Linked DNA regions of Canis lupus familiaris. The protein of the gene in region 3 purifies or fractionates together with the protein of the main gene of each other region. This does not show direct contact. Links are inferred from orthologs where the notes say so. Each region holds a gene or a part of one and is shown on either strand. Other genes may lie near its edges.

What was found. The genes of interacting proteins can lie anywhere in the genome.
Region 1: the proteins of GOLGA7 (region 3) and CLDND1 purify together in Homo sapiens (affinity purification with mass spectrometry; 3 studies listed by BioGRID and IntAct, counting the BioPlex papers as one, with this or other methods). This does not show direct contact. The link is inferred for Canis lupus familiaris from reciprocal best matches to the Homo sapiens genes GOLGA7 and CLDND1.
Region 2: the proteins of GOLGA7 (region 3) and ZDHHC5 purify together in Homo sapiens (co-immunoprecipitation; 3 studies listed by BioGRID and IntAct, with this or other methods). This does not show direct contact. The link is inferred for Canis lupus familiaris from reciprocal best matches to the Homo sapiens genes GOLGA7 and ZDHHC5.

What each region holds. Positions count from the first base shown.
Region 1 is NC_049254.1:5,736,074-5,738,687, reverse strand, and holds the end of CLDND1 (claudin domain-containing protein 1), read left to right. Parts: intron 1-382; coding exon 383-520; intron 521-660; coding exon 661-881; 3' UTR 882-2,097; downstream 2,098-2,614. UniProt on the Homo sapiens protein: Plays a role in negatively regulating the permeability of cells to small molecules.
Region 2 is NC_049239.1:38,976,591-38,980,108, forward strand, and holds part of ZDHHC5 (palmitoyltransferase ZDHHC5), read right to left. Parts: intron 840-3,518; coding exon 718-839; intron 1-717. UniProt on the Homo sapiens protein: Palmitoyltransferase that catalyzes the addition of palmitate onto various protein substrates such as CTNND2, CD36, GSDMD, NLRP3, NOD1, NOD2, STAT3 and S1PR1 thus plays a role in various biological processes including cell adhesion, inflammation, fatty acid uptake, bacterial sensing or cardiac functions.
Region 3 is NC_049237.1:24,832,482-24,836,689, reverse strand, and holds the start of GOLGA7 (golgin subfamily A member 7), read left to right. Parts: upstream 1-1,395; 5' UTR 1,396-1,491; exon of another isoform or gene 1,492-1,628; intron 1,629-1,760; 5' UTR 1,761-1,781; coding exon 1,782-1,892; intron 1,893-4,208. UniProt on the Homo sapiens protein: May be involved in protein transport from Golgi to cell surface. The ZDHHC9-GOLGA7 complex is a palmitoyltransferase specific for HRAS and NRAS.

The DNA of each region.
Region 1 (2,614 bases), on a different chromosome or scaffold from region 3:
AGCTCGGTGCTGAGGTCACCACCTGCCTCAGAAAGCAAGAGTGGGGGATCCCTGGGTGGCGCAGCGGTTTGGCGCCTGCCTTTGGCCCAGGGCGCGATCCTGGAGACCGGGGATTGAATCCCATGTCGGGCTCCCGGTGCATGGAGCCTGCTTCTCCCTCTGCCTGTGTCTCTGCCTCTCTCTCTCTCTGACTATCATAAATAAATAAAAAATTAAAAAAAAAAAAAAAAGGCAAGAGTGGGGTGCTTGACAGCGCCATCCAAGGGGCCCCTCCTTTTTCACTTTTTGAGAAAAGATCTAATTAGTATATAAAAGAAATTGTCATTGTGAAAAACTGTCTGAAATTGAGGTAACATTTCTTTTTTGTCTTTTTCAAAATTAGATCTTTGGCGTTGCCAGTTCCTTTTACCGTTCGTTAGTCTCGGTTTGATGTGCTTCGGGGCTGTGATTGGATTTTGTGCTTGCATCTGCCGAAGTTTGTATCCCACCATTGCCACGGGCATTCTCCATCTCCTTGCAGGTGAGGCTTGTCAGTATACTTACCTCTTCCTCCTCCATAGAGACAGAGGGATCGTAATCCTTAAACACACGCAGTGTTGCCGTGCTGCCTGAAAAACTCTCACGATGCCCTTACCTAGTTATGTTTTGTTCTCCCCCGAGGTCTGTGTACCCTGGGCTCCGTGAGTTGTTATGTTGCTGGAATTGAGCTACTACACCAGAAGCTAGAGCTGCCTGAGAATGTGTCTGGTGAATTTGGATGGTCCTTCTGCCTGGCGTGTGTTTCAGCTCCCTTACAGTTCATGGCTTCCGCTCTCTTCATCTGGGCTGCCCATACCAACCGGAAAGAGTACACCTTAATGAAGGCATATCGTGTGGCATGAGGGGGAAGCTGCCTGAATTGCAATTGCCATTTTTATTATTTTTCAATATTGATATTTTTTCCTTATCTCCCTTTTCCCATTGTTTTTAATTAAAAAAAAATTTTTTTGTGGATCTACCATTTTATCCTGAAAATCCATTCTATTTATTCACACAGTTGTTTCTTAATACCACTAAAACTTATAAGCATTATTCTGAATGATTCCATCTTTTGCACAAACTAATCTAGGTTCAGAGTCCAGACAGCCAGAAATGGGTAGACACTTGGGACAAATTTGTGAAAGAAAATTGATAGGGGAAAATTGGCCCCAAGACTTCTGCTGATGTCAGTTAGACTTTTCAGTAAATAACTATCTGTTCAACTAGAAACTCTTTAGTGTCTCTGAGAAACTCATTTTGTCAAGACTTAGGGTCACTTTGCTGTTGTAGATAGCCAGTCAGCCAGAACATTAGTGCTATATTCAAAGACTTAAGCTATATAAAATAAGGAAACTATCTGAGATCCTTTCCCCCAAATACTGGCATAAAGTTTTATTCAAGGTGAAATACGGCAGCTGTTTATCTATACTGTGTCTGTCTGCAAGAAAGGAAGTGAAAAATACAGTGTTTACTTGAAATTTTAACTTTGTAACTGCAAGAATTCCAATTCAGCCAGACAAGAGGATTAACCTTATTTTACTTTTTTTTAATTTTTTTTTTTAACTCTCCTTAATATGTCAGTAGGATTTTCAGTACAACCAAACCATTTTGGATTTTTGCTCCTTGCCTCCTCACACATCAGGCTCATTAAGAGTGCTTTCTTTGTAACACTACTTTGGGGTCACAGAGTAAAATTTTCCAACCGCTGTCTATTTATTCCAGCTCAATACCATGAAGAAGGTTCAACCATAATGACCCTCCGGAGCTAGGAAAACTACCACAAGACCTAAAGCTTTGGCTGGTCATTAACTTCCAACTATGGTCTTTATTTCTTGTGGTGAAATGATGTGCCTTTCCTTGCCTAAATCCCTTCCTGGTGTGTATCAACATTATTTAACATCTTCTAATTCAGTCATTTTTTTTTATAAACATGTCTATAAACATTGAACTTTAAAAAATCTTATTCCATTACTGTAGCACTTGACAGATTTTAAAAAAAATGTAACTTAGTAATTTCTTACAAATATCCTGAATCTGTCTTTTTTATAAAAATAAAATAAAAAATGAGAAGAAACTCAATTGTGTATACTTTCTGAGTTGATTTAAATCTCAATGTTTTAGGATAAAGAAGTACAGGATTCTGAACGATATCTCTGGTTCTCTGGAAAATGCTTTGTTGCTGAGGTCTCTGTTTTATCTTCCAAAAAATAAGGGAAGCTCTTGCCTCCATTAGAAAACGAGGCTCTTTATCCCTTTAAGATTTCAGAGTTTAAAAACATGTTTTCACAGTAGTTTGTGATCTCTAAGTATCATATTTAACGTGGCTAGATTTTTTTTTTTATAAGGTCCTGTAATGGCTGTGGATGTTTGTGTTGTACAGAGATAATCAGGTCCGCTTCTGACTTACAACAAAGCCAGTACAGCCGATTATTGCCTCTGCAGTTGCTGGTTACTCCCTCTTCTCTCTCTTCCTCCCTCCTGAGGTTTGCATTGTCTTTCAGCACCTTTGGTGGAAGGTAGAAAAGCTAAGTAAACATACAAAATGCTTGGGCGTGGGGTTTTAAAATTCTTGACCAAGGTGGCACTTTTGTGTTGG
Region 2 (3,518 bases), on a different chromosome or scaffold from region 3:
TCAAGTTCTCATCTGGTTTACATTATTGCAATCGCCTCCCAAAAGGTATCTGTGCATTCTTACAAGAATGATTTTTGTAAAGGAAATCTGATCCTGTGATTCCTCCAGTTAAAGATCTCTTGCTGTCCAAAGGAAGAAATGTAATCTATTTAATTTAGTACATAAAGTCTTCCACAATTTGGCTGTTTACCTCCTACTCCTTCTGGCCCGACCATGAGCTTTTATCTTCCACCCCACTGAGCTCAGCACTAGTGGCATGTACTGCTTCCTCGGCCTAGAATGTGCTTCCCTACCATCCTCCACTCGAAGTCTTTCCTGTGTCCTCCTTGCAGCATTTCCCCAATTTAATGGGGGCAGATATAAGTGCACCCTTTTATATGGTCTCACAGAACCTCATTCATGCCTCCACTACAGTTCACACCACACTATTATAACTGTCTAATTCATCTTAGATTATCATTGCCCGACCCATATGCTCAAAATGAATCTCTGCTCAATGAGCAACTGAAAATCAAAAACTTGACCCAAAGTGAATTAAGAGGACTAGAAGTTATGACACCTATTCTGGAGGACTCTGACCAGCTTTTCATCATGAGACTACAGACATATCCCACAACCCCCAGAGTCCTAAGGCCCAGGATTAAATGCACATGTCCAAAAACCATTATATTTGAAAGGTAGTTGAGGAGTTTCCAAGAGAGGAGAGGGAGCTCTTACCTCGAGGGAAAATCCCTGGGTCCATGAAGGTGGCCATGCTGAAGTTGGCCAGCACAAAGAGAAAAACAATCGCATTGTAGATGGGCACTGCAGGTGACACACAGAGGCTTAGTCCTGGACAGCTGCACAGATAACAAAGAAAATGAGGGGCTGCCCCTAACATTTGGGACACCGACCATATAAAAATCTGAAAGTTTCAGTCCCCATACCTATAAATTACGTGTATTTCATCTCTGCTGTCTCAAATGATCTTCATCCTTCCCAACAATTGGGTCTAGTTTCCCCACAGAAATGCTCATTTTAGATCAAGGTACGAAATTCAGAATCTCTCCTACCATAACCCCTTTTACTGAGGTCTGTGTTCTTCAGATTCATTCTTCCCCTGTGGCTCTTTCCACATTTTAGAATCTGTCCTTATCTCTTTTTAGCCAGGCATAAGAGCTAGGGACTGAGTGTGTAATTGACGCCAGCTACATTCCCCTCTCTTGCGCAGCCCAAGGCTGCTGGATCTCGGCCATGCCCCACTGACCTGTACACTGGCGCAGAGCACGGGATACCACCTGCCTCTCTGGCTCCCCTTCCCTCTTTCCAGCTGGCTTTCAACCACTCTCCACTGCCTAAAATTTATTCACTGCATCAGATATTCCTGGGAGTTTTTATTCAACAAAAAGCTGGTTCTCAAGGCGGACAGGGGGCCCACACACTGATATGTAGGAATATCAAGACACAGAACTAGATCTCTTGAGGTCTATAAATGAGGCAGACAAGTAGCAGAGAGGAAAATAGGAGGGAGCAAATCAAATCAGCCCTAAATCCTACAGGAAAAAAGAAACTGGCCAAACATATTCAATATTCCACAGGGTCCAAATCAAGAGATATGCTTTAGGTAACTTTTCTTTGACACCCCCCCCCAAAAAAAGCAGGGGGTGTTCTAGTCGAGGATTAAGCTCAGTTTCTCTCAGGTTATAAGTCTAAGTAGGAATGCTATAAGAACTCTTTTCTTTCTGATTTCCTGGGAGCTGGAAGTTTCAAAACACCTGACGTGCTGATCACTTTGTCAGTACTATCAAATGCCCGTTCTCCTATCTCAGCTCACGAAGAACTTCCTCTTACAAGACAGTGGCTAAATGCCCTAATCTGCTTTGTGGCTGAGAACTTAATCTCCAGAATGAGGACAGCATCTGTCCTTGTCCCCTTTATCTAAACCAGCCAGTAGTAAAGGAAGAGTTCATTGAAAGAAAGAAAGAAGTGGCCAGGAGAATAACACAACAAATGAGTCTGGAAAATGAATCCACAGTAGTCCTGGATTCTGTTCAGAGAGATCTGTCTCCATCAAAACAAAAAGCACAGCCCTGAACAAGTGATTCAGGACAATTCACAGGAATTGAGCTCCTTAATCAGATATAAACTAATAAGAGACAAGACTGACCGTCATAAAGCATCTCACGAGTCTTTACCACCTCCATCTATTTATTCAAATTCTATTTAGCCACTCATTAAAAAAAAAAAAAGTAAGTAAATATTTATTGCACAGGCTTTTTAGATAGTAAATATCAATTAACTCTTTGCTTCCCTTGGTAGGTGAGTACGTAATTGGAAACAAAATAATGAAGCGAGGTAGGCACTGATTTCAAAGGAAAACAGACCCTCAGTCCCAGGTCTAGTTTTACGCTATCCACGCCTCCCAAAGAAGCCTCTGCCTCTGGGGGTTATCTGCTTCAGAAAAGATGTTCCCATACTCTGGCAGGGTTTGGGGTAGAATACAAGCAAGAAGAGTCCTCATACAGCCCCACCCAGAGGCTGACCTCCCAGGCTCCTTAGGAGGGAGGGACAGAAACTGAAAACCAGTCATCCAGGTCAGAGCCCCTCCCTAGCACTTAGCTGTCGCTTCGATTTCCGCCAGGGGAAGAGGAGAAAGGGTGACTCACTTGACTCCTACAGCCTGGGAAGATAATTAGAAGGGAAAAAGAAATTAAATCCTTAGAACACTGAGATGCCCATGATTTAAAAACCTCATTCCTAGAACTGACGACAACTGTAGCTACCATGGCCTCTTGAGCTTCTGACACACTAAAGGTTCCTCGATCCCTGAGGGGAACTAAGATGAGAGAATGAGATGTCAGCCCCTTACAGGCCCAGATGGCAGTCTTTCTGACCCCATTTTTTCCTTCAGTTTCTGCATTTCCAAATGAAGAAAATCACCCAACTTCTTGGGTAGGCTGCCACCCACCCATCCCTGTATAATGAACGTCACCCCTGCAATCTCCCCCACCCCGAGATTTTAAAGTAATCTCTACACCCACCATGGGGCTTGAATGCTCGACCCTGAGATCAAAAGTTGCATGTTTCACCAACTGAGTGAGCCAGGAGCCCCACTCCTATAACCTTCTTGGTATCGACTCATCCCAGCTGAAGTCTGTAATCCTACAATCCAGTTCTAGAATCTGTTGTCAAAACAAAGCTACCCTCACAGTAGCAGCATCTAGAAATGATACAAATGGGGCACCTGGTTGGCTCAGTGGTTGAGAGTCTGCCTTTGACTCAGGTAGTGATCCTGGGGTCCTGGGAATGAGTCTCGCATCGGGCTCCCTGCAGGGAACCTGCTTCTCCCTCTGCCTATGTCTCTGCCTCTCTGTCTCTCATGAATAAATAAAATCTTAAAAAAAATAGAAATGATGCAAACAATTCCATATCCCAGGCAGCATCTGCCCCTTGACTGAAATCTAGGACCCACTACTTATAGACTTCATACTAGCTAAGGGAACACCCCACCAAGGAGAGACGTGAAGGAGCAGAGTCTG
Region 3 (4,208 bases):
ATAAGTATATGAAAAGATGTTCTAATTTTCTAGTCATAGAAAAATAAAATTTATAACCACAAATAAGATACCTCTATACAAGTGTTGGCAAAGATGTGGAGCATCCCTCATATGCTACTGGTGGGAACGTAAAATGGTACAACCACTTTGGGAAACAGTTTGGCAGTTTCCTAAAAAGTTAAACACTAGATATTTACCCGAGAGAAATGAAATCATATGTCCATACAAAGACTTGTAGATGAATGTCCGATAGCAGTTTAATCTGTAATAGCCCCAAACTGGAAAGCAGTCCTAAATCTGTCCACAGAATAAACGAATGACAGGATACTCAATTCAATGGAATACTACCCAGCAACAAAAATGAATGAATTCTTGATAAAACAACAACAGATGAATCTCAAATGATGCCTATGTGAAAGAAGCCAAACAAACAAGCAAGAAGTACACACTGTGATTCATTTTATATAACATTCAAAGAAGTACAAACTAACATATAATAGCAGAAAGCAGGTCAGCGCCTGGAGAAAAGGAGCTGGGTAAGGGCAGGAGAGAGGGATTACAGAGGAGCTTGTAGGACATGCTGAGGATGATCAATGTTCACAGTCTTGATTGAGAGGATTTCATGGTTGCACACGTATGTCAGAACTTATTACACTGTTCAGTTCAAGTATGCTCCGCTCATTGTATGCTGTTTATATTTCCATAAAACTTTTTAAAATACAGTAAGAGAAAATTTTTAAGATATATAAAAGGCAGGGTAAGGCATCGGTGCCAACAGGCTGTATCAGGCAGGCTCCAGCAGCTGAGGGCAAGGCGGAGTTCCTTTGGCTGCTCTGCAAAAGTGTGTGCTGAGTCAGGTGGAGCCCCAGAGGTCACGGAGGGGAACCTGTCCTCCCAGCCGCCCGAGGGATGTACAGACTGGGCGCTGGATGGACATCTCTGCGGGAGGAGGAACGGTGACCCCGCAGAGACCTGAGGACGGATGCTCGGTAATAAAGCCCAAGCAGGGTCTCCGTCCCCTCCTTCTCCCGCCCCCTTGCCAAGAGGATCCCCAGGCGTCTGCTTTCTGCTTCCAATTTTGTGTGAGCAGTTCGTTTTGTCCCGAGTCGGGCGGCACCCACAGGTAAGCCAGGACGTCAAAAACTACGTCGATCACTAGGGAAATGACACGACACGGATATGACACAACAGGGAAATCCCGAGTATTGGACCGGGGCAAACGAGGGGAGCGTGCAGCAGCCGTAGCTTCCCGGGCCTCGCCCCGCCCCGGCCCGGCCAGGCCCGGCCTCTTCCTTCCGTATTGACGCCCCCGGGCGGGGCGGGGCGGGGCGGGGCGAGGGGCGGGGTCGGCCCGGACCCCGCCCACTGCGCCTCCTCACCGCAGCGCGCAGCCTCACCAGGGTCGCTTTACGGCCGGGGCGAAAGTGAGTCCTCTCCTTGCGATAGAGGCTGAGCGGAGGGGCGGGGAAACAAGCTCTTTTGCGGCAGGACGTAAGTGGCGCTGTGGGCGGTGCGACTGCAGCTGGAGGGCAGAGGAGGCGGGTTCGTGTTTCCCGGGCCGAACCGGGCTGCGGGGGGTGCGGGGCCTGGCCCCGGGCTATAGCTCAAGTCCCGCGGGGCCAGTATGGGTGAGGGGGAGTGGGGCGGGGCACGCCTCGCGCCACCTGGGCCCGTGGGGAGGGGCTGGGGGGCGGGCGGGCCGGAGTCTCGGGTCCAGGCCGGGGATCTGACCCGAGGCTGTTGTCCCCCCAAACCCGCAGCGCGCCGGTCCTGTCCTCGCCATGAGGCCGCAGCAGGCGCCGGTGTCCGGGAAGGTGTTCATTCAGCGAGACTACAGCAGCGGCACACGGTGCCAGTTCCAGACCAAGTTCCCCGCGGAGCTGGAGAACCGGGTACGCACCCTGTCCCCGCACCTGCTCTGGGGCGATGGGGGCGGGCCTCCTCAGGGCAGACACCGGGCCCGCGGTGTGCCTGGCGGCGAGGGGAGGGGAGGCGAGGCCCGGACGCGGCGTTTGGAGGAGGACGAATAAGACCGACCCCCGGGTGTGGTGACCTTACAGAACTCTGTGGTGCCGAACCAACCAGCCGCCTTCTTCCCCCCGCGCCTCCGCCCCGCCCCACCCCCACCCCCACCCCGGGTTATTGACAACAGTGATGAGGAACTAATTCCTGAGGTTCCAGCCACCTAGCTCAGCACGTTGTAAACTATATCCTCCCACCTCGCCAGGAGAGTAATCATCATCGTTCTCGTGATTGGGGTTCCTGGCCATGGTGCTGGTCGCCCTGCTCGGCAGAAGGGGTTTATTAAATTGCTGTACCAGGCAGTACGGACAGGCCTGCTGGGAACCTGAGCAACGTGGAGCATTAGATCGGCCTGGACAGGGAAGGATCTCAGAACAAGGCCTGACACTTGCAATTCCCGGTTATGATCCCCGGGAGCCACCTGTGTTTTGTTGGCTTGCATATCAGAATTGGCGTCAGGATATAGGTCCCATAGGCAGCCCTGCACCTAGAAATGGAAGATGGAGCTGTGTTTCCTCTTTCTTCAGACTCGGGGAGAAATTCTTTGTATTTTATTTTAAAAATACAACGAAGTGAGCATGTGTGAGTTTGTTTTCTCTTGTATCTGAATGTGCTCACCCACCCAAAGAAAGAGCTTTTGGTCTTGAGCCATGTTACCTTGCATTCTGTTTTCTTTTTAGAGATCAGTTTCTGGTTAAAGGGGAGCAGGTTTTCTGCTCTTTTCTGCTTGATGGGGAGGGTGAGGGACTGAGGTGATTAGGTGTGTTGTGGGTGTGGGAGTAAGAAATACTGGTCATGGGATAAGTGGGTATAGAGGAGTCTGTACAAGAGAAATGTGTAGCAGTCCTTTAAAATCAGCTTGTAACAGGTAGATTGCTCTACCTGAATGCCAAGTTTGGAAAATCAATGTGTATCAATCCTAGTGTCCTTCGACTTAATTTATAATTGTGGTCAGGTTAGTGACCCAAGTATGTTTCTTTAAGTGCAAATGAAAGATCAGGTATGCTTTACAGGGATGGTGTGTGGATGAGCTTGTCTGTGAGATGCTGTATTAAATGCTGCACTTTGCCGTCTAGATGTTGAGTTAACTCAGCTTGACACTGGGTGGACATTTCCATCATGGTTTCAAGAGATAGAAATTGAGCAAGTTGCCTGTTGTCTACCGCTACTGAACGTTATTTTTAAAATAACTTAACATCCTAGTTAACATGTTTTACGTGTTAGGACTTGTATGAAATGGATCAAATGTTTTATTTGTAAGCCTGTTATGGAAACTCTGACTTATACTATTTATGTACTTTCAAATCAGAGTGTAAACTCTTCTTTCTACCACACTTACTTGGATGTTATAAGATTCCTTTGTTTTTTTTTTGTTTGTTTTTTTTGTTTTGTTTTGTTTTGTTTTATGATAGTCACAGAGAGAGAGAGAGAGAGAGGCAGAGACATAGGCAGAGGGAGAAGAAGGCTCCATGCACCGGGAGCCCAATGTGGGATTCGATCCCGGGTCTCCAAGATCACTCCCTGGGCCAAAGGCAGGCGCCAAACCGCTGCACCACCCAGGATCCCGATTCCTTTGTTTAAAGGTTTTATTTATTGTTTGTTTGTTCGTTTGTTTAAAGGTTTTAAAGTCAAACTTCCAACTCATAACTGAGCCAAATATATATATGCAGATATGCAGGACCAGACATTAGCCTTCTACTCCATGTGTGGTAGAGCCTTTACTTTATAGTCTGGATTCTGAGAATCTCCACGGATTCTTACAGGAAATTGATGTTTCTAAATTCTGGAGTCCTTTTACTTCTTTGACTTCAGATTATAGCCTAGAACTGCTAGGCTATAATGTGACTCTGAGTACTAACTATAGGGAGTGTTACTTGGTGCTATTCAATTGTGTCTTTGAGGGTGTTTTTTTTTTTTTTTTTCTTCCTTTTTTTTTTTTTTCAGTGTTTGGGTTAAAACACTAGTTTATGCTTTAAACTGCTTGGGAGAGCTTTGATTTTTCTTTTAATGTATTGAAATCAAATTTAAATTACAGGTTTAAATTTTCCTTGCTTTGTTTGATGGAAAATTAAAAGGTTTCTGTCTTTGTTTCTATACTACTTACCCTAGAAATTGTACTGATTGCTCTGCCACTGGGCTGATTTTCCTCTGGGGAGAACATCACACTTGGTAATTTAATAGAGGAA